3 linked regions of the Arabidopsis thaliana genome follow. The protein of the gene in region 1 purifies or fractionates together with the protein of each later gene. This does not show direct contact. Each region holds a gene or a part of one and is shown on either strand. Other genes may lie near its edges.

What was found. The genes of interacting proteins can lie anywhere in the genome.
Region 2: the proteins of ASP5 (region 1) and WIN1 fractionate together in Arabidopsis thaliana (co-fractionation; one large-scale study listed by BioGRID). This does not show direct contact.
Region 3: the proteins of ASP5 (region 1) and ACO3 fractionate together in Arabidopsis thaliana (co-fractionation; one large-scale study listed by BioGRID). This does not show direct contact.

What each region holds. Positions count from the first base shown.
Region 1 is NC_003075.7:15,469,713-15,476,819, forward strand, and holds ASP5 (aspartate aminotransferase 5), read right to left. Parts: upstream 4,142-7,107; 5' UTR 3,960-4,141; exon of another isoform or gene 3,836-3,959; 5' UTR 3,810-3,835; coding exon 3,750-3,809; intron 3,658-3,749; coding exon 3,607-3,657; coding exon of another isoform or gene 3,591-3,606; intron 3,484-3,590; coding exon 3,289-3,483; intron 3,215-3,288; coding exon 3,176-3,214; intron 3,092-3,175; coding exon 3,002-3,091; intron 2,905-3,001; coding exon 2,796-2,904; intron 2,711-2,795; coding exon 2,601-2,710; intron 2,394-2,600; coding exon 2,250-2,393; intron 2,158-2,249; coding exon 1,991-2,157; intron 1,853-1,990; coding exon 1,588-1,852; intron 1,494-1,587; coding exon 1,371-1,493; coding exon of another isoform or gene 1,362-1,370; exon of another isoform or gene 1,200-1,361; coding exon 1,164-1,199; 3' UTR 1,049-1,163; downstream 1-1,048. Other genes in the region: AT4G31985 (Ribosomal protein L39 family protein), read left to right, coding at 219-221, 376-479, 606-654; AT4G32000 (Protein kinase superfamily protein), read right to left, coding at 4,371-4,508, 4,609-4,698, 4,788-4,906, 5,189-5,291, 5,419-5,515, 5,611-5,674, 5,831-5,963, 6,046-6,545 and 1 more. UniProt on the Arabidopsis thaliana protein: Amino acid aminotransferase important for the metabolism of amino acids and Krebs-cycle related organic acids. No activity with D-Asp or D-Ala as amino donors. In plants, it is involved in nitrogen metabolism and in aspects of carbon and energy metabolism.
Region 2 is NC_003070.9:30,297,336-30,303,755, forward strand, and holds WIN1 (HOPW1-1-interacting 1), read right to left. Parts: upstream 3,324-6,420; 5' UTR 3,179-3,323; coding exon 2,765-3,178; intron 2,392-2,764; coding exon 1,957-2,391; intron 1,865-1,956; coding exon 1,340-1,864; 3' UTR 1,127-1,339; downstream 1-1,126. Other genes in the region: AT1G80610 (uncharacterized protein), read right to left, coding at 3,869-3,985, 4,107-4,175, 4,268-4,330, 4,580-4,648, 6,308-6,420.
Region 3 is NC_003071.7:2,138,390-2,147,804, reverse strand, and holds ACO3 (aconitase 3), read right to left. Parts: upstream 6,477-9,415; 5' UTR 6,215-6,476; coding exon 5,935-6,214; intron 5,842-5,934; coding exon 5,737-5,841; intron 5,660-5,736; coding exon 5,406-5,659; intron 5,322-5,405; coding exon 5,136-5,321; intron 4,959-5,135; coding exon 4,797-4,958; intron 4,632-4,796; coding exon 4,487-4,631; intron 4,394-4,486; coding exon 4,251-4,393; intron 4,179-4,250; coding exon 4,122-4,178; intron 4,035-4,121; coding exon 3,955-4,034; intron 3,870-3,954; coding exon 3,794-3,869; intron 3,663-3,793; coding exon 3,477-3,662; intron 3,395-3,476; coding exon 3,327-3,394; intron 3,235-3,326; coding exon 3,116-3,234; intron 3,004-3,115; coding exon 2,882-3,003; intron 2,771-2,881; coding exon 2,672-2,770; intron 2,593-2,671; coding exon 2,113-2,592; intron 2,026-2,112; coding exon 1,927-2,025; intron 1,845-1,926; coding exon 1,602-1,844; intron 1,524-1,601; coding exon 1,455-1,523; 3' UTR 1,127-1,454; and 1 more. Other genes in the region: AT2G05720 (Transducin/WD40 repeat-like superfamily protein), read right to left, coding at 178-613. UniProt on the Arabidopsis thaliana protein: Catalyzes the isomerization of citrate to isocitrate via cis-aconitate. Contributes to oxidative stress tolerance. Modulates cytosolic citrate metabolism during lipid mobilization. Required during seedling growth.

The DNA of each region.
Region 1 (7,107 bases):
TTGGGAACGTGACCAATAAAAAATTGACGTTTCGCTACAAGACTAAAAATCATGGGCCTTGGGCCGAAACATGAAACCTAAAAAGACTGTTATCACATAAAAAGCCCAATAAAGAAGACTTTACTAGGGTTTCATCGTTTTAACTTCTTAAAAAGGTTAGTCGCCTCTTCTTCGTATTTTTTGCCTCGCTGAGCAGCTGCGAATCTCACGACTTCAAGATGGTTAGTCTCGCTCTCTCGCAAATTTTTAATCTTTGTTACAATCGTTTGTTAGTTTCGCCTGTTTGGATTGATTAAAGAGTTTGATTTGTTGTTAGTTAGATATCGAAACGAAATTAGTGATTTTGATTTGTGTTGGAAAAATGAAATGTAACAGCCGTCGCACAAGTCGTTTATGATTAAGAAGAAGTTGGGAAAGAAGATGAGACAGAACAGGCCTATTCCTCACTGGATTCGTCTTCGTACCGACAACACCATCAGGTTCGACTATTCTTGTTTTTTTTTGTCTATTGTTTATTCCCTGATCTATCAAATTGAAGATATATTTAGTTGTGTTAGTTGATCGATTTAGTTCTAAAACTGATTTCATTGTGTGGTTAATTTCAGGTACAATGCCAAGCGCAGGCACTGGCGTAGAACCAAGCTCGGATTCTAAGTGATAAGCCTTCTAAAAGAGTCTTCTTTATCTGTTTGGTTTAGCATTTCCTCAAGTCTTCTTTTTGTTTTAAGTTATGACATTTTCATATTTCTGTAAGACTTTTACTCTATTATGATTCATGTTACCAAATTTTCTTCGTATTGGGAGTTGTTTCTTAACATTTGTGTGATTTGACTATTGAAGTATCTCTTGGTTTGCTTCCATGTAGAGTTGTTTCTTAAGAATTTTTTCTCGCAACCTAGAATCTGGATTGGGTTTAAATTTAATCATCTACTTGCGAACTAGAAGCTTTAGAATTTCTTGCTAGTAATTGTACTGGTTTTAATATCTAGTGGTTTTGAATCTTTTGATAATGTGATAGTGAGTCGATGCTTCTTATAGCAGACAATGTGGAATTGCACTGGTATTAAGATAGATCACACTGTACAATCTGATCATTTCTGTTGTAACTCTTCCGGTCAAGTATAGTTGTGAAATTATGTAAAATACAATCGTAACAAGTTCTTCTATAACTCGATGGGAGTCTCCCAATACAACAAGGCCTGTCAAACACGATCAAATCAAAAGTTTCCTTGAAAATTGTCTAGCAATCATAGTGTGATGCTAGCTTATTAATTTAGCCATCTGGTTTCAATCAAAGATCAAGAAGAAGCTAAAAAGGGTATATAAAACTGTTTCTTATTGTCATCTACTGAGATGGAAGCTCAGCTTACGTTATGGTATGAGTCGATGATCGCATCAGCAAGATACTCGCATTTGGCCAGAGATAATCCGGCCAATGATATCCTCCCGTCTTTAGTCATATACACATGCCATTTGTCCGTCATGTTATCGCTCTGCTCGTTACCAAAAGAAAACAGCACAAACTTCAAACCACAAGTCTAAACAAGGCCAAAGGGAATCTGTGTAGTATTAAAATTGTTGGCATACCTGAGCTTTGTTTAGGCCGGTGAAAGAGAACATGCCAATTTGCTTCAGAATGAAGGACCAGTCCTTCCCGCTCTTGTCTTTTGAAACGAGGCTATCATACAGCTCTTGTCTAACCGTCTTTATTCTTCCTGCCATCATTTCCATCTCTGCTTTCCATTCACTGAACATAGTTACATCACCCACTACATTGGCCACGATTCTCGCCCCATGAACTGGTGGATTCGAGTACATAGGCCGAGCAATCCTTTTCAACTGGCTCTTGACCCTGAAAGCAAGTAGTGTTACTGGTAAAGGTTCCATAAAACCTGTAGCTAGATATGGTTCGTGACGGTAAAGATAGAAACTGAGACTCCAGGATCACTTGCAACAGGCTCATGATAAGAAAATTTAGAGTAAGTTTTACCTTGTAGCAGCATCAGCTGAGGAGCACACGACATTGATTGCCCCAATTCTTTCTGCATACAAACCTAAATTTTTACTATATGACTGAGCAACAAAAAACTCCATTCCCCGCTCAGCAAATAATCTCACAGATGCTGCATCTTCATCAAGGCTTCCACTAGCAAAGCCCTGGAAAATAGGTGCATGTAGCGTTACATAATATGGTTTCGCTTACTTCTCTCGGAAACACGATATTCGGAAATGTAGGAATAGGGGGATACCTGGTATGCAACATCGAAAAATGGGATATGGTTCTTTTCCTGAATGACATCAGCAATTTTTACCCACTGTTCTGGTGTTGGGTCAATTCCAGTTGGGTTGTGAGCACATCCGTGAAGCAAGATGAAGGATCCTTCTGGAGCTTCCTGTACATTTTACATAACAGAAATTCAAGATTAACCATTATAATCCATCAGGGTTTCACGTTGTCTTTAAACAAGTACTCGTTTTATCACACAGACAGTATAACTGCAAACAAATACTCACTTTGGCATCACATAAATGATATCCTGTTTGTTGATGCATATATAAAGCAATGTCAACTAAAACATAGCCTTCTAGGACAAACAAACCTTTATATCTGCTATCATTCCCTCAAAATCCAAACCAATTGTTTTTGGATCATAGTAGCGGTATTCGGACCACGGAACTTTGGCATCATTGAAGATATTCTTGTGATTACCTGATGTGGTATTTTGTACAGTTGATAAAGGCGGTTAAATATGAAACCAAATCACTCAAAAATGTTTGTGGTCAAGACAATGTACCCCAGGTTGGTGATGAGATCACAACTTTTGCTCCAGGGAAATAACGCTCTATAAGAGCCGCTGCTAATCGCAGTGAACCTGTTCCCGAAAGACCCTGAATTGTTGCTACCTGGTGATTTAGAGCCAAGGTAAATGGATTAGCTCAGAAACAGGAACATCATGAGAAAACATTTTAATAACATGATGAACAAAAGATGCAGAATTACTCTTTGTTCCTTAATAACAGGATGACCAGCTCCAAATAGCAACTCAGCAGTAGCCTTGTTGAATGCTGCCAACCCCTCAATTGGAAGATACTGCAAGTTCCATCCATGTGAGGTATAATTTAGTGATATTCTGATGATGTAATCGCTTGCACAATTTGAAATAAACCAAGTTACCTCTTTGTTATCTCCTCTCTCCAACATCAAATTCTCCGCCTAGAAACGACAAGTAATGAAATTAACTACATGAAAAGAGCCATACGAGATTAACTAGAGTTACAAGTTCCAACCTTTTTAACAACATTAAGCACATAAGGCTGGAGTTCCTCAGTACGATAAGCACCAACACCAAGATTGAGTTTCATCCCGTTAGTGTCAGCTTTGAATGCTTCACTGACTCCAAGAATAGGGTCTGGTGGAGCCATAGTTATACCCTCGAAACGAGAAGGCTTCACTGCAACCGTCATAGTCACTCTGCTAAAAGACTGAAACCAAAATCCACAAATTTCAGATACAAACTACACTTATTAGACTAATAACACTCTAAAACGTCATTCAAAATTGTTCATATGGTTCAGATTCGAGCACTAACAAAGAAAAGAGAGTACCTTTGCTTTTAGGAACGGGTTCGAAGCAGAAGTTCCAAGCTTTAGCTTATCCTGTTCAAGTTTAATCGAAAACAAAAAAGTAAGATTTTGAATAAACTGATGCGTAATTTCTACCATATACTCGATAGAACGGCGAAAAGTACCTTGTTAATCTCGCGCGGTAACAGAGAAGTGGAACCGAGAGATAACATTAAAGAAGCCATGGAATCGCTATGGAGCACAAAATTAACTGCACAGATCTCAAATCAGTGAACTAGTGCGAGGATAAGCAATTCCAAAAATAAGACAATGATGTGATCCACAAAATATGATCACGAGACTTTGTGAGTATTTTAGCAGAGCTGATTTGTCACCTGGACTTGGTTAGAATCGCGCGGTTTCGATAACGATCAGATCGAGAGATTGAAGAAAAAGATTAACAAGGATTCAACGAGAGAGAGACACGACGATGTCTACGAAGTTGTTCTCACTTCTCAGGCTTGTCTTGATAGGGGTAAGATAGTCATTTAGGATTATGTTTAAAAGTTGAAAGAGTGGATGGATGGATACTAGTGGATTGTGATTAGTGGTTCATGCAACAATTAATTGAATATTTACACTTAGTGACAACACAATTTATATATTAATCAATTTACAAATACAATAATGACAAGTGAATACCCTTCTGTCCTCACATTTTTCACCCCCAAATTAAATTACTCAAAGCAATCAGAGATCAAACTGTAAAATTCAAAAAAAGAAGCAAAAAATATTATTTTCTTAAATCAAGACGATGATGGTATTAACCGGAGAGTCCCTCCTAGCTCTACCGGAACCAATGGAACTAGTGAGTGAAGAACATCGGTTATCAACGGTCGATAACTCGGTTCTGGTTGTACACAAAGCACTGCCACGGCTGCCACCTGAACAATTTATTTCCGGTTTTATTTACGTTTCAACACAAAAAATATGTAACCAATCGGATTTTTAAGCCTAAACACAAAGACAAAAGATGACGCAAACCTGGTATAAGTGCTTATGATCCATTGTATCTTTGATAACCGGATCCACGATTTTCGGAAGCTTTGATCTATCCGTAAGTTGGGGCATTGCCTGCAAATTTTTCGAAACGGTACACTCATTAACCAATGCTATCTGATTCATGTATTGATGGCAATAACGTCAACACAAACCGGACTTACCCAAGTGACAAGAGATTGACACTGAACCGAACTCAATTTCTCAACCGGCCGTCTTCCTAACAAGAGTTCAAGTAAAACCACACCAAACGCATAAACATCACTCTTATCCGTCAATTTTCCTGAGGGACATAAAGATGTTGCAATGAGACAAACTCAATAAACCGGTTTAGCGACCCAACAACTACCATCTCTAATCAAATAATGATTTCTATGTGTGATTAGTTGAAATAATACATCAACAAACAAAATGATTTGATTTAGAACAACAATTTTAGACGTAATGAAAGAAACTTAATGTTATGGGGTCACATGATTATGACTATCAAACTATGTGCTATAACTCTAGTGATATGACAACGAGTCAAAGTCGATCAATATAGAGGGAAATGTTAATATTTTACCATCTAGGAGATATTCTGGAGCAACATAACCAAGTGTTCCTGATAGTTTAATGTTGTTTTTGCCGTGAGCCCCCACCATTACCGCAAGACCAAAATCCGAAATCTGAATGTTGATCTATCGTTAGAGATGGAACTAAAGACAAATGAATGAAATGATTCTTGAATCAACGAAACAAATCTTGTTCGGTTAGCTCAGAACAGAATCATCATTAATGATTCAAGTTGTTTACCTTGGCGTTGAAGGAAGAATCAAGGAGAATATTTGACGATTTAAGATCTCTGTGGATAACCGGAGGACGACAACGCTCGTGGAGATACTCAACAGCTCTATTTCCAAACCAACATAAGAAAACGGTTTACCTAAACCGAAATTAATCAACCGGTAGAGAGGATTGTTAAATGTGGGCACTTGAGTGTAGTACCTTGCTGTATCAAGAGCAATCTTCATCCGCATGTGCCATGTTAAAGCCGATCCCCGAGAAGGTCCTTAACCATTAATGATGCAAACATTAAATTTTATCAAAACAAAAATTATTTATTTCATGTGGGCACATGATTTGTTTTATCTCTGTTATACTATAGTATTAATTTAACTCATGATCTATTACACGATGATGAGAAGATGTTTTGAGCTATTTTTACCGTGTAACTGTGTATCCAATGATCCGCTTTCCATCAGCTCGTAGACGATAAAACTCGAACTGAGTTCATTTCCATATCCAAACAATGAGATGATGTTCGGGTGGTGAATCTTGCTCAACAAATCAACTTCATTCTGAGATTTAGATGATAAAATCAGATATCAAGAATCCGGTAAAAAAGTAAAAATGATTAGTACTTGTGTTTTGTTTTGGTACCTGAAATTCTCGTTTTGCTTCTTGACTAACGTTTTCGATCTTTTTGACTGCTGCTAGAGTGTTGTTGCCTAAACAGGCCTTGTAAACATCTCCGAACCCGCCTCGTCCTATAAGATTACCGTCTTTGAAACCGCCTGTTGCTTTCTCTAGTGTCTTGTAATCGAAGGACTGCACAAAGCCCTTCTTGGATAATGAAATCCTACTCTCACCTTCTTCCGCATGAAACCATTTAGATATCAAAACAGAGAGATCACAATGAAGAAACTGATACAGAATCTTGTTACAAATGTAAAGTTTTGCAGATTTGTTCTCATTCTTAATGTTAAGATGATTATTACCTGAGTTCTTGGTGTTTTTGGGAGATTTCTTAGACCAATAAACCCAAAAGCATAAACAAGATACAAGTATTAGTCCTAGAGAAGATGAGGTGATTATGAGAGCGATTAGAAGTTTCTTGTGTGCATCTAACTTGTGTTCTTGGCCTTTGCCCATGTGGATCCCTGAAATCAGAAATCAAACGCTTGAGCTAATCTTCTCACTGTATCTAATTTCTGAATTATCCCAAAGGGATCTAGATGAGAAGGAATTTTCAGAATAACTGATAAAGAGATACGTAGAAGATAGCAATTCACTCATTCAGCAGCTCAAAAATAGCAATTACGTATATAATTAAAAGTCAGATTTTCATTGGTTTACTAAAACACAGATCAATCCACAAAAAAAAACATAAGCATGGATAGAGGAAGAGAGAGATACCTGGAGAAAAGGAAGCCATGGAAGTGTAAACAGGAGAAAGAGAAGGCTGTGAAGCAGGTGAAGTAAAAGCAGAAACACTAATGATGAATTCAAGAACAGAGACCTTAAGAAGAAGAAGAAGAAGATGAAGAATCTTTCCCATTTCTCCAGACTCTTTGGGATTTTTAATGGTGAAAGAGAGATTTTCTAAGAGCAGTGTGAGAATGTGAGATTGCTCTTCCAAGATTAATCTCTCTCTCGCTCTCTCTTTCTCTAATGGAGATCTCTTTCATAAAATTTTGTTTCCTTTTTTCTTGTCTGCATAAA
Region 2 (6,420 bases), on another chromosome or scaffold:
TTGGCGCCATCAATGTTGACATTTGGTAATTCACAAACGTGTGACGAGACGACGTAGTTGGAAGGTCTTGTGCGATTGTTAGCCTTTAAACAATCAATAACATTAACAAGTTAAGGGACACTTCAAAGTAGCCAGACAGCTTGAGGTCAAGTCTAACTAAGGAAGGCACCTTCCTCTCACCTAATCCAACAGACTAATTATATTTAATACACATCTTGGTCTGTTGGACATGAATCCCATGGAATATCTCTAGGTAGTTATTAACCTGGATATAGAAGCTGGGTGCATAAATCATTGGATCATGCTTTTTGATGAATAGTGAACCATAGGACTTGTTTCTACAGAAGAACTTAGGAACTTGGTATTATATAGTGTAGCTGAAACTGAAAGCTACAAGATTTGAATAAGTAAGTTCTACATATACACTAACACAGTCATACATACATGTGTGTGTGCGTCAATGTGTGATCCCATAAGTTCCGCTTTGTAGCATTACAATTTTGGTCTTCCGTAGAAGCCGCAACGATTGTAACACCTCGCAATTCATGATTATCAATAATTTCAGCTAATAACCATGTATTAGGCAAGTGTCCGCCACAAAAACAGAGAAGAACAATAACTCTGTTCGTTAACGTTAGCCATAAAACAGACCGTAACAAATAGCGAAGCAGAGCATGTGCTCTGTTTTTTTGCTTTGTACTCATTACTAACCTTATAGGAAATCTTCTCTTGCTACACCTGTTTATTTTCATCAATGCTAATACTATATTACATACCAAAACCCTACCCCTGCAACAGTAAAGAACTCCTAATGGCATTATTAACACAGACATAGTGAGAAATCATCCTAAGACCCTCAAAAATCAATCATCTGTAATTAATTAACAGAACTAAACGCCAAAATTCTCGACATTAGTTCAGGATCGCCTAAGGCCCTAATTATCATTTTTTAAATTAGACCCCTAAGATTCTTGGTTGCGACCAATGCATACACTGCCGATAAATTGGATTCACGTCTTTCCAATGCTGGTTCGTTGGATACTCTACCAATATTTCTATCACCGTTATCATCTATGTGCTCTGATTCCTCACGCAGCTCATAACCAGCATGCTATAACGCAAGACGGAAACAATCGCGATAGAGACGTCATCGAACCAACCATGGAAATTATACAAGTATTTAGATTGAACAATTAGTTCATCAAGTTTTGTGTCAAATTTTATTTCTTTTCAATTGTGCAGAGCATCTTTACCGGTACACTTGAGGCTAATTTAAGACAAGATCGAATATAAAACATTAGCTCTTCTTCAACACCACATCATTTCTCTTCCAAGAACTTCAATCAAGCGCAGTCAAATTTTGAGACATGATCTCAACCGCACGTTCGATTTCCTCCTCTGATATAACCAACGGAGGAACAATCCTGACGACATTTCCTTTCCCCGCTGTCAAGATCAGAAGACCCGAATCTCGGCAAGCATCAACCAGTGAGCTTGCCGGCACATCGAGCTCCACTCCTATGATAAGCCCTTCGCCTCTCACTTCCTTCACGTGCGAGTTTCCTCCAAGTTTTTTCACCAACAGGTCTCTAAAGTATCGACCTTTATTTGAGACACTGGACAAGAAAGAGGGTTTCGATACTTTATCCATAACTGCAATGGCTGCACTGCACACAAGAGGGCTGCCTGCAAATGTACTTCCATGATCTCCGTAGTTTATGGTCTCTGCAACCTTTTCAGTCACCAGCACCGCTCCAATAGGTAAACCACCAGCTAAAGGCTTTGCAACCGTCATTATGTCAGGAGTCACACCGAAGGCTTCATAAGCCCACATGAGACCCGTTCGACCCAAACCACATTGAACCTGGGACAATGAACCCAGTTGAGGCAAGACCAATCAAAAAACAGAAACAAAGAAAGAAAATAAAATTTTGGATGGACGGTAGAGTATATTACCTCATCGAAGACGAGAAGAGATCCAGCGGCATCACAAGCAGAGCGCAGAGATTGCAGAAACTCTTTTGTAGCAGAGTAAATCCCGCCTTCTCCTTGAATTGGTTCCACAAAAACTGCAGCTATTTTACCTGAGCGGATAAGGTCTGTGGCTGCTTGAATGTTACCATATTCTAAGAAGGTTACACCAGGCATGATGGGTTCGAAAGGAGTTCTGTATTGTTCTTTGCTTGTCAAGGCAAGAGCTCCTAAGGTTCTTCCATGGAAGCTGTTTGTAAAGGCGATGAAACCTGTCGCGACTTCTTTGTCTTCTGGATGGGTGAATCTCTGGAATTTTCTTGAAAACTTAATGGCTGCTTCATTGGCTTCCGTTCCCGAGTTACAAAAGAATACACGGTCTGCAAAAGAACTCGCCACCAAGCGTTTTGCGAGCTCTATCTGCAGAGAAGTTCAAACATTTCAGATTTTAACAACCCATATGAAGTAGATATGAGCATAAAGGTTCCTTTTTTCGAGGAATTGGGCATTGAGGAGCATATGTACACTAAGAGTTTACAATGAGGTCAGATACTTCTCATAAAAATTTCTATAGGGAAGGCGTAGAAACAATCCAATTTGATGAAATTTCAAAGTGCAAGTACTTGTCATAGAATAATCTCGCTATTATAAGTAGAAGACTAATCCAACATTCCCTAGCATGTTTCCATAGGCCATAGCTCAATCACACAGAGGATAAAAACAACAAAAGTTTTAAGCTTTCGTCAGCCATCAACAGAATCAGTAATGCAAAAATACAGTAACGAATAAATACCTGAGGGATCGTGTAATAAACATTGCTGACATGGGCAAGAACACCAGCTTGCTCAGTGACAGCTCGAAGCCAATCAGGATCTCCATGACCAAGAGCATTCACAGCGATTCCAGATGCACAATCCAGATACTCTTTTCCTTCAGGGTCGAACAATTTACAACCTTTCCCACTCGAGAGAACCACTGGAGCTCGCGCGTAGGTACCCACAATAACTTTGGCTTCCTCTTCAATCACCTTCTGGCTCACACTCGCTTTTACCGACACCGCTTGGTCCCCTGCGTTAGTCAATACGCTCGCAATCCGGCCGTTGAATCCGATCCGGGTTCTGATGATCGGCCGCTCCAATCGACGGCGTAAGAGGCCAATCTCCGACGACGGCGCGCGTGGCAGGGTGATTTGGCTAAGAGACGCCATTTTCGTGTGTCGGGACAATAAAGAGTCGTTAAGACAAAATAGCTGAGATTAATTCTATTTCTAGGGTTTTAAGGCCAGTGATAATTTTACTACTACTGGTTTAGCTGAGCTTAATAAAGAATCTGATTAGTATCTTACTTTTTCCGTAATTACGTGTTTTTAGTATTAATGGTTTGAAATTTCTAAATTATTTATAACGATGAAAAAGAATGCAAGACTGCAGATATTTTTTAGTCCATCAATCATAATACAAAATATAGTAAAATGTTTGGAACGTGTTACACTGATTATAAATGTCGATGTAATACATCTTACCAGAGATAATAAGAAAGAACAAACAAAAAAAAAAAGGTGTACATCTATTATCTAAGTAGATAATTACATCTCATCCTAATAAAATGGGAGAAAGATAAGAATCATTTAGGAGATTGGCAGAACAAAAATCTTACTACCAGCTAAACTAGAAGATATTGTTAACACACTTAACCATAGTCTCGAACCACTTCACCTTCAGGCGAATCTTCTTCAGCTTCCACCGGGATATGGGTGAAGGATATATAGGATTAATCTACGTTCTTCATATTCATATAGTTACAGTTCAAAAAACATGTTTGTGGACGGAGGAGGTATAGTGGTATAGTGTTGTGTAATGGGAAAAACAAAAGAATGATATGCTTGTGGCTCGCCCGTTCAGCAGACAACTTCAGGGCTCGGGTCGTTATCTAGAGGCATGTTTAGGTCAGGGAGCAAGAAGGAAGAACCTTGTTCGAAAGTGAGTTTGCACGATAAGGCAGATTGTGATTCAGCCTGCATACACATGAAAATGATATACTTGAATAATTAACATGTTTATCTTCCGTATATATGATTGAATGAGTACATGTATAGAAAGATAGAGAGAGAGAGAGAGAGAGAGCGATGGGCTCACCTTCATCTTCTTTAGAGCAGTGTTTCTTGCTCTTTGTTGCTCGAGCAAATCGCGCATATTTGCCAATTCCTGATTCAAGAATAAGATTAACCAAATCTAAGATTAGAACTTGGACTTGATATATAGAGACATAAAGAAAGAGGCTAAAATGGAGGTTATACATTTTTCAGGCCGTTACTTTCCTTCAAGAGCATGATCTCTTCCTCTTTAAGCTCAGCCAAAGTCTGTCAACAATCATATATATTAATTAGAGAAATATAGGTTTGAATCGGCTAAAATGTAAAACCATATCAGTCCAAATGTAGAAAATATAAGATTGCTAGGCGTATCTTAGACAATATGCCTCAACAGATTTAAACAAACCAGTAGGTAGTAGCCTGGTCAGAGTTGCTCTATGTCTGGTCTAAAACTAGTAATATTATCTTTTAACAGTATCAGTAACTAATAGAAACACTGTCTTTCGTATTTTTTACCTTCTTCTTTCTTGATCTCTTGAAAAGGGTTGTTGTTGTTGTTGTTGTTATTGCACTCGTTTGAGAAATCTGGACATCAAAACAAAAACAATCAGATTATGGCTTAAGACACACAACACCACCAGATAAAGCCAGCTCAACAATCAATAATCACACCAAACTAATACCGTAAAAACAATTTGTTTTTGTATTGTATATCATTTCTATAAAGAAACCACACACCTACCATTCGAGAGAGACTTTAGAGGCACGATAAGTTGGAAACAAAAGAATCACTTCATCAGCATATTAACAAATAACAACTAGAACTTGGAAATCTAAAAGAAAATTCCAAATCATGTAAATTTCAGCAGTATCTTCTTGGTCAACTACTCAAAAAGAAAAAACAGAAGGGCAAATAAATAAATATATAGAAAAACATAGAAACACGTGAGTGGAGCGTGACTTGGGAGACTTTTAAATATAAAGCGTGTGTGTTTGGTCGTCACATTCACACGTCATGCTTTTCCTTGTCCTCCAACCCCAAACTAGTGTCACGTATTCTCCACACCACCACTTGTCCTTATTATCTATCATCTTTCTATTTTTATTTTATTCTACCCAAAAATTCCATTTCCTTTAGTTTGACGACTTTACTTTGGTTTTCAAATTATAACCCACCGATCAAAGTCAACTTCAAATCAGACAACAATCTTAACTAAACTTTGTAAAAAAAAAAGTAAAACAGGCTAACTCAACAAGACTGTCACCAAGAAAATCTGACGGACGAATCACAGGACCTAATCCGTTGCAACAACTGAGGACTTTGACCACTACTACTAGAGAACGAGTACATACTACTTATTGTCCACTGCGCCACATCTGATAACTGCTCTCCCCACTAAACCCTACCACACACGTACCTAATCCACTCATACTCTAATCTTAAATTCAATTCCACGAAAACGCCTCCCAAATTATAAATAACGCCAGCGATAATCTCTGGCATTGACTAATATACCCTCTATCGTGAGAAGCAGCTAACCTGGTGACAAGGGTTAATTTAGTCATTAGCTTGGTAATGATAATGAATGTGTTTATTTTTTCTCTTTAGCATTGAAGTCTACAACGCTGATTTGACCCAGAAGACCTCTCCCCTCTCCCTTGATGTGAGGGCTTTGTGGTCTTTCCGCAAAGCAGCATAGAGAGAGAGAGAGAAAGATGACTGAGATGCACAAAAGTGGGAAAACGTGACTCTTTTGTTGCCAAAAGAAAAGAGCAAAAAGCAGAGATCACCGAATTTATCACCTGTTTGTTTGAAACTCAAAAACAATCTAACAAGTGTTTCCAAGAAGACAACAAAAGAAATCGAGAAAGATAGATTGAGTTTCTTGGAAAAGAAAAGACTAAAAACATCATTGCCTAAATTGGAGTTGTGTCCACGCTGGGGGTATTTCGGTCAACGAAAAGTCGGTGTACCTACATGATCAGCTTAAGAACACGATCGTGGATCCTAAAATGACCAAAATACCCACAAGCTACCAACTGAAATGTCAAGGGCGTACTCGGTAGTAGATCAGCCCAAACCACAACAAAGACGCTTAAAATTACGTTTTTAAAAACTAAAATCATGACAGTGCAAAACGCCGCATCACGAGGGCTATAGCAGAAAACAAGACCTACGAGATATGACCGTCGCGGAGTTTCAAATCGGATAAACAAAAAAATGAGTGAAATGATCGGACAAACCTTAGATCTAAATGGCTCAGAGGGTTTTACGGCGGCGCTAGACTCCTCGAGGCCTTCCATGGTGGTAGCACCGGCGCCGCTTCCACCGCTGCCGCCTCCGCCGCTAAGAGACG
Region 3 (9,415 bases), on another chromosome or scaffold:
TTGTTGAAATGCAATTCCGTAGACACTACGACTATGACCTTCTTGTGTTAAAGCATCTCAACTCCTATGTTTATATCCCACAATCTCCATGTTTTATCAAAACTCGTTGTCCGGAGGCATCTCAACACTACGACTATGACGGGTGGAATGCAATGCGTGCAAGACGATCTGAATGACCTTTAAAAGTTTGTAGAAGTGTTCCATCCGTTTTCCATATCTTTTCAGTTCGATCAGTAGAAGCAGTTGCTAGACATTCATCATCCACAGACGAGAACACTACATCAGTTACATGTTCTTTATGACCTTTCAAGACAACAATCTTGTTTGTAACTTGAGGCACCTCCCACAATTTAGGAACCCCACTAAGAGAACATGTGACGAGTATTTTTCCATCTCGTGATAAGGAGCAACCAGTAAGAGGACGATCATCCCCAAATTTACTAGAACCAAGAACCATGTCTTTACAATGCTTTAAAGCCAATTTAGTCTCAGCATTTTTATCTTCATCTGGATCATTCCTTCGCCGATTTTCACGCTGAATCCTTAGAGCAGCTCTCTTTATAAAATCTTTGGTAATTTCTATTCTAGCCTCTCTAAGCTCTGTTGGACCCATTGGTATAAACAAACTTTTGAAACAAGATCTAGAAGAAGCTCGTGACAAGACTAGTTCACTTAGAAGACAAGAAGGTTTGGCTTACCAAAGCTCTTATTTATAGCAAAGTAAACGAGATGGATCAGAAAGAAAGAAAGGAAATCTATTAAAAAAGTGGGTTATTGGGGTTAGCTTTGAATTGTGATTTGTCTCTTAAGTCTAAATTCGATAGGAAGCAGTATTTTTATCCAGATCTTCTTCAAGGTTATCAGATTTGGATATTCCTCTTGAGTTTGGTGGTGGACATAGGAGATTTTGGTATTACTAGGGTTCATATGGAAGAAGATGCTGGCAAGTTACTTCATTCAGACACAGGAGATTACTCTCAGGTTCATATGGAATTTATGACAAGTTTCAGTTTGGTTTTATCAGATTCTTGTATTGGTTTTAGGCTTCAGCTGCAAGATGTTTGTGTTTCTTATGTATTAGTTGGTTACTCTAATGGTGCAAGTAGATTTGAATAGAGCAGGTGTTCTTGAACATGATCTGAGAATTGGTATAGATGCTGCTGAATACGCTTGTGAAATGCAACAGATTGCGAGGTCTTTGGGAGTCAGTAATGGGAATATGCAAGAAGGCTCTCTTATTCCTTTTCAAAAACAATAATATTCAACTCTTGCAAGTTGCGAAACATGGGAGCCTAAGCGTGTAAGAATAACCCACTGAAACTCATATATTGCATGAGATCACTCACCTTTTAACCTAATCCTAGACAGACTTATCTGCCTTTTAAAAAAGACATTTTAAAACAGAAACAAACACTCTTTTATTTTGCTCCATAACTTGTGTATTGCTTCCTTCACTATTGCTTGCTCAAGTTTCTGATAACATATGGAAGTATGCCTCCATGGTTAAAGTATGCCAATTCCACCTGCACATTTATTTTACCATTATTAGTTCCTTCACATTGAAAAGCTTTTTTTCACTAAAGATTGGAGTATTTAGTTACCTCTGTGTCGAAGCGGACTGTGCAAGTGAAAGATTTTCCGTTGTCGGTAGTGACGGTAACATCTTGGCCAGGTCTTATCTCTGAGATATCGGTTGGGAGATGGATCGTGTAGCGTTCGTGACCAGTCAATCCAAGAGTATCTGCGTCTTCACCGGACTTAAAGCACAATGGGATGATTCCCATTCCCACCAAGTTGCTTCGGTGAATCCTCTCAAAACTCTTTGCAATCACCGCTTTAACACCCTGACAATCCCAAACTTGTTGTTTCAGAATAAAACAGTAAGATTGGTTTATGCGGAAAGAAACTAGAGAAGCGGTTCTAAACCTGTAGCATGGGTCCCTTGGCAGCCCAATCACGTGAGCTACCACTTCCATACTCAGCTCCAGCCAGAATAATTGTGTCTTCACCAGATGACTTGTACCTCTGATACATTTGACATTATGATAAGGAGACATTCGACATGATCAACATACAGTCAGTAATACAAATTTTAATTAGATAAATACAAACCATGGCAGCGTCAAAGACTGAGAGCTTCTCTCCAGATGGAATGTGAACAGTCTTAGGGCCAACTTCACCATTCATGAGCTTGTTAACGATACGGATATTAGCAAAAGTACCTCTGGCCATTATTTCATCATTCCCACGGCGACTTCCATATGAGTTGAAGTCCTTACGGTCAACGCCACGCTCCATGAGAAACTTTGCAGCAGGACTGTCCTTTTGGATGTTTCCAGCTGGTGAGATGTGATCAGTGGTGATACTGTCCCCAAAATTGAGTAAACAGTAAGCATCCTTCACATTGTGTGGACCAGGAGGATCCATGGTCATGTCCTTGAAGTATGGAGGCTCGTGAATGTAAGTTGAGTTGGGATCCCATGAGTAGAGGGTATTCTCAGGAACAGACAGCTTATTCCACATGGGGTTACCCTTGGTGATTGACTCGTACGTTGCTCGGAACATGTCAGGCAAAACACTGGATTGAACAACCTGATCCATATGTCAAAAGATTAGTTTAATATTTGTGTATAAAAAAGATGTTATTGTTCTCTGGTTAAGTCGTATATACCTCAGCAATTTCTTCCGTGGTTGGCCAGATATCTCTTAAGAAGACGTCCTTGCCATTCTTTCCTTTGCCAATAGGCTCCGTTTCAAAGTCAATGTTAACCTGGAAAATAAGAAAGAAGAACGCCAAAATTACCAATGTGATAATCAGTCATGTGTCATTATCTCATACAAAATGTAAGTTGAACTTTGACAAGTTCTCAAGATTTATTACCGTGCCAGCAAGAGCATAGGCAACCACCAACGGAGGAGATGCAAGGTAATTGGCTCTTGTTAGTGGATGAACACGCCCCTCAAAGTTCCTGTTACCGGATAGCACAGCAGCCGCCACAATGTCTAAAACCAAGCAACACAAATATTGAAAACAAATCAGCTACTTACTTATATATAATAGTAATATAAAGGATGGAAAGTCCAAAGTAAGTTTAGTTGGGAATCTCAATAATACCATTTTCGGTAATAGCAGCTCCCACTGATTCATTAATTTCCCCAGAATTCCCGATGCATGTAGTGCACCCGTAGCCGACAATATTGAAACCCTGTTCATTCAGATATTCTTGCAATCCACTGCATGGAGTAAGATGTTACACTTAAATTTACCATCACATAAGAAAGAATTAGCCTTTAACAACGAAGAACTAGATAAAAATACGACATACCTCTTTAATAAGTATTTTGTAACAACTCCTGAGCCTGGAGCAAGACTTGTCTTTATCCAAGGCTTAACCTACAGAGGCAAGTTTTTGAAAAAGGGATCAGAAAATGTCGAGGCATCAGATAGATTTCTAGTTTGCTCTCGTGAAACCAACCTGTAGCCCAAGGTCACAAGCCTTCTTTGCAACAAGACCAGCACCAAGCATGACGCTGGGATTTGATGTATTAGTACAGCTTGTGATTGCAGCAATCACCACACTTCCATGTTTAAGCTCTGCTGGTTGTCCATCGAACGAAAAATTTACCACTTTTTCTTGTGCCTCTTTAGGTATAGCAAAACCCTGCGGAGAATGAATAGCAATATTCAGAAATAAACATTGATTTCCAAAATGTGCACCAACAACCCAGTCTATAGAACGAGTAAATGGTTAAGAGATTAGACATCCACAAAGTGAAACATCCAGTTACATACCTTGAACCCAACTTTACTGTCAAGACATGAATGCCAGTCAGCTTTCATTTCCTTCAAAGTAACACGATCATGTGGCCTGCAAAGAAGATATCAATAATATGGTCATGACCAATTATTCAGACAATAAACTTCGCGATTACAAAAACCAACAGAACCCATACCGCTTTGGTCCAGAAATGCAAGGTTCAACATCATCCAGATTCAGTTCTAGATATGACGAGTAAACCCGGTCTTGCTGAGGCTGAAATTTATTCACAAGCAAAGTCAAATAAAAACCTGAAAGGAGATTAAGAAACAAAAAAAGAAAGAAAGTATAAGGCTAATTTACCTCATTGTAGTCAACAAACATATTGTTAGCCCGAAGATATGCTTCAATCATAGCCACCTGCCATGAAAGTATTGTATCAGACCAGATATCTGAATATATATAGAAGGAAGATTAAAGTCAAACACTCACTGTCTCATCGCTTCTTCCAGTCAATTTGAGATATTGTAGAGTAACATGATCCACAGGGAAGAAGCCCATGGTTGCACCATACTCGGGAGACATATTGGCAATTGTCGCCCTGTCAGCTAGGGACAGCCCACTCATGCCATTACCTAAGAAGAAAAAAGTAGACTTATAATGCTCCAACAAACACATGTCTATTATAAAAGAGCAAAACACTTAAGAGCTCACAAGGATATAATTACCATAAAACTCAACAAACTTTCCAACAACGCCATGCTTCCTCAGCATTTGAGTCACTGTTAGAACCAAATCAGTAGCTGTTACACCATTACGCATTTTTCCGGCAAGTTTGAATCCAACAACACCAGGCAATACCATACTCATGGGCTGTCAAACCAAAAAAGCGTTATCAGTATAAGAAAAATTCACAAACCTCACTGTATTGGAGCAGAAGAGTCATAAAATATAGTGATCTAATCTAAAATTCAGTAAAGTTGACTCCAGATTAACCAACATCTGATGTGCGTCATGTAAATAATCAAAATAATTTACCTGGCCAAGCATTGTTGCCTCAGCTTCAATACCCCCAACACCCCATCCAGCAACTCCCAAACCATCAATCATAGTTGTATGTGAATCAGTTCCAACCACGCTGTCTGGGTAGAGAAGGCCTTTGGTATTGAACACAACTCTTCCAAGATATTCCAAATTGACCTGAATTTTCAAGATGAGGTTAGTTTGAGACAAACTTCAAGACAGATAAAAGAAGATAATAAATGAAAAGAAACATTTCAATACACTGGAAACATGAGGTTGAAAAGGATATATATCAATGTCAGAACAAGTTTAGAAACAACTTATGGACTCGCACACTTTAAAAAAGAGAATTACCTGATGCACAATACCAGAGCCAGGAGGCACAACAAGCATGTTCTGGAACGCAGTAGAACCCCATTTAAGGAAAGCAAACCTCTCCTTGTTCCTCTGGAACTCAAGCTCCATGTTTGCTTGCACTGCATTCTCTGATCGAGCTACATCTACTTGAACCGAGTGATCAATCACAAGATCCACCGGAACCTGAGAGACACAGTATAACATAAGAAATCTAAAAGAACCCTAACCTAAACAAAAAGCATCAATCTGTGGCAAACAAAAACATACCAAGGGATTGATTTTGTTGGAATCACTTCCCAGCTTATTCATCGCATCACGCATACAAGCAAGGTCAACAACAGCTGGGACTCCCGTAAAGTCCTGAAGAAGAACACGAGCTGGTTTAAAAGGAATCTCTACTTGTTTAGGAGATGTCTTTTCCCAGTCAATAATCTTCTCAACATCTTCCTTAGTAACTTGAAAGTTATCACAATTACGAATCGCAGATTCAAGCAGAATCCTAATAGAGTAAGGAAGTTTATCTGCAAATACAACACTCCTCTTCAGATTCTCAGGTCCTTCATAAACTCATTCAAAGAGAGATTCAAAAAATCCATACCAACTCGTGGATCGTTAAGAGCAGGTAAGCTATAGAACTTTCCGAATTCACCACCACCAGGCTTAGGAAGTGTAGTGAAGATCCCTTTAAACGGATGCTCTGACGCTGAAACAATCATAATCACAAAACAGTTACTACTAATCAACAGAGATCGGAATAAAAAACTCAAGCTAGATCAATCAGATCGAGATATTTTACCCATGGAAGAGAAGGTTCTCTGGAGACGATCTAAGACTGGAGAAACAGCTCTGATCTGAGAGGTGAAGCGAAACGGAGATGGTTTCGAGTGAAAGGAATGGCTCCAGCGACGGAAAGCAGGGGAAATGGTACCAAAAGATCTACGAGCGAGAAGAGACGACGGAGAAGTAGATGAAACGGAGGGAGATAAAACCGATCGGAAAGAGAAAAGAGAAGAAGAGCGAGAAGAAGCAGCTCGGATGATGGAGGAAGAAGCGGAAGATGAAGCGGTTAAATACATGATGATGAAATCACGCTTCCAGATGCAGATTCAGATACTGACAGAGAAGATGAAGAAGATAAGGTTATTGATTGATCAATTGGGATCGATCATGGAGGATTTTGAATCTGACGTCGGAGTGATGAATGATTGAAGAAGCGAGAGAGAGAGAGAGGCGTGTGGAGACGAAACGAAAATGCCTAGGGCTGCGTGCCAATAAGTCAATCTTCCCTCTCTCGCAAGGGAATATTTTTTTTTGTTTACGGTATTTTTTGGATTTTAATCTACGCAGCCCCTCTCCTCCACATAATTTCTATTTAGCCCCTATTATTAAAATAATATATATTTTTATTTATTTTAATTTAAATAATTACTTAAAAATCAAATAAATCTCATAACATTTTTACCTGTTTGAAAAAGACAACGTAATATATAGTTTCTTAATATATAATCATATATATATGAAAATTGGTCAACACTCTCCATATGAATGACACACCATCACACAAAAGCATCACACAAAAGTTTGACATATATCATTCTATATTTTTAAATTTAAAAAATAATAAAATTAAAGGTAATATTAGTAGATAACCAAATAAAACATACAAATTAAGAAACTAGCAGAGATAAAGTTTTTTGTTACAAAATAACCATGGACCCACGTTGTCGGAAGAAAGGAAATAATAAAGCTATCCTTTATTTGTTGTAAGATGAAAAGTAAACGAAACACATCCGTGTAATTTTTCAAAATATCATGTAACATTAAAATTTCACATGTTATATTTAGTTTAAAAACATGCTATTTCATAATACGTTATGAATTTTTTTTTTTAAAACATTATTATGAAATTCTTTTACATGAACAGAATCTTAAAACAAAAATTATATGTGATTTTAATAAAAACCATGTATTACTAAAAAATAAGAATATTTTTAAAGAAATCACGTGTGATCTCAATAAAAAACGTGTATTACTACAAAATATCATGATAAAAAGATATATTAAACTGAATACAATGTTTTTTCCAAAAAATAGCATGTGCTTTTTATAAATACTATGTAATAAGAGAAAATAACAAGTGTTCTCCAACATGTTTCCGACAAGATACTGTGACTCAAGGTTAGTTTGTACATTCTTTTCAAATCTATAGTCATTTATTATAAATACTCTAAAATTAAATGTATGATTAATCCTATTCTTAATTGATTCAAAATAAAATAAAAAAAAATTATGTTAATAAATTAAGCACTACTTTCATTATACTCTTTATTTTATTAAATTTTTATTATCAATAATCACTACTAGATAATGACTTTTTTTTGTGTTGTAGTTGTTTGCTACCAAACCTCTTATTAGTTTAGTATATATTATTCTCATGAACATATTTTCGTCATTAGTTTTCTAACGTTGTCCTTCGCGATTCATCATTAGTTAGACCGATACAGATTTCTTATGTTAATCTTATTTAGAGATCTAAAATCTACATATACATTTTTCAGCTACTTTAACAAATAAATCTTGTACTTGAACTTATTTACAATGTCATGCTATTGACATTAATTATTAATAAATGAAATATTTAATTAAAGATGTAAATCAAAATTAGTTTGGTAAAAATTGCTAAAACACTGGACACATCTTTACTAATATTACGGCAATGATCATTTAGAAATCTAATCATATATATGAAAGTTGGCCAACTCTTTCCATATGAATGACACATCATCACACAAAAAAATGACATGTGTCATTCTATATTTTTTAAATTAAAATATTAATCATATTAAATAAGCAAATTAAATGTATCATCAATCCTACTCTTAATTGATTTTTTCAAGATAAAAATAAAATAAAAAATTATGTTAATAAATTAAGCACTACTTTTATTATACTCTTTTTATTTTACTAATTTTTTTGTGTTGTACTTGTTCGTTACCTAACCTCTTATTAGTTTAGTAATTTTATTTTGAGTCTTTGATAACATTGACACTCAAGTTTTTTCAAATAATAAACCTTTAAAACGTTAGACTTACCAAATAATTTAATACACGATCATTTCTCTTATATTGATATATGCAATGAGAGAAGATCTAAAAGTATTGACTTAAATACTGCTTTAATTTATGCTTTTTTTTTTAATTCTTTTCATATGAATACTTTTGAAATCTTGTTCAGTTTATATCAATTCTATATATTTAATCATGAGTCGATAACACTAATTAACTAGATTTTAACCCGCGGTATACCGCGGAGACAATTTATTTCCTTAAAGTTAGTATATATAAAAGTTTACAAATTTTATCTATCTATAAAATATTTTTATTTTATAGTTTACAATTGTTATTAAGTAGCTTCCTGCCAAACCCGTCCCGCCAACCCGTCTCGTAAAAAAAACTATTTATTTTATTAATGTTGATCTTATTTATGATATGTTTATGAATCATTGTCTAAATATTTTATAATTTTGTAGTAATTAATTGCTATCAAATATCTTTACGGTTTGCTGCTTATAATCGAATTGTTATAGTCATAAAAAAAAAGCAATATCAAAAATGATAATTTTGTAGTATTTAAATGATATTAAATATTTTGGAAATTTTATTTTAGTAATTAATCGTATAGTTAATGCAGAGAGATTTTGGAAAGGTAGTTAAATGCAAATATTTAATTCGAAGATTTACTTTCTAATTATCAAAAACAATTATTAAATGCCGGTGGCAGCCACTGTAAATAAGTCTCAACTTGAAGATTTATTTCACAAAGTGGCTGCAAAAATGTATATGTAGATTTCAAATAAACCATCACATTATCAAATAATCGTGCAAGGTTTGATATTATGGTCATATTTTGTATTATTTATTTGGTTTATTTTGTATTATTCTCACATAAAGAAAAAAAAGTTAAAGTGGTCATCGTGTTATAAAAAAAAAAAAAAAGTTAAAGTGGTCATGTTTCATTTTCTTGAATATTATCTACTGGATTTTGTGATATCGAGTAAAAAGTTACCATTTTACTGTAATTTCGATTTTAATGTTTCTATGTTGGCAATGTCAATTAGTTTTGAAAAAATATTCAATATGTTAACCCAAAAATCTTAATGATATCAATTTAGAGTTATATGATGGGACGGGTTTGGATTGATATTATTACAAATTTATAGTATCATCAACCCAAAGTAATAACACGGTTTAAATGTAATTTTAATATTTTATCAGCCT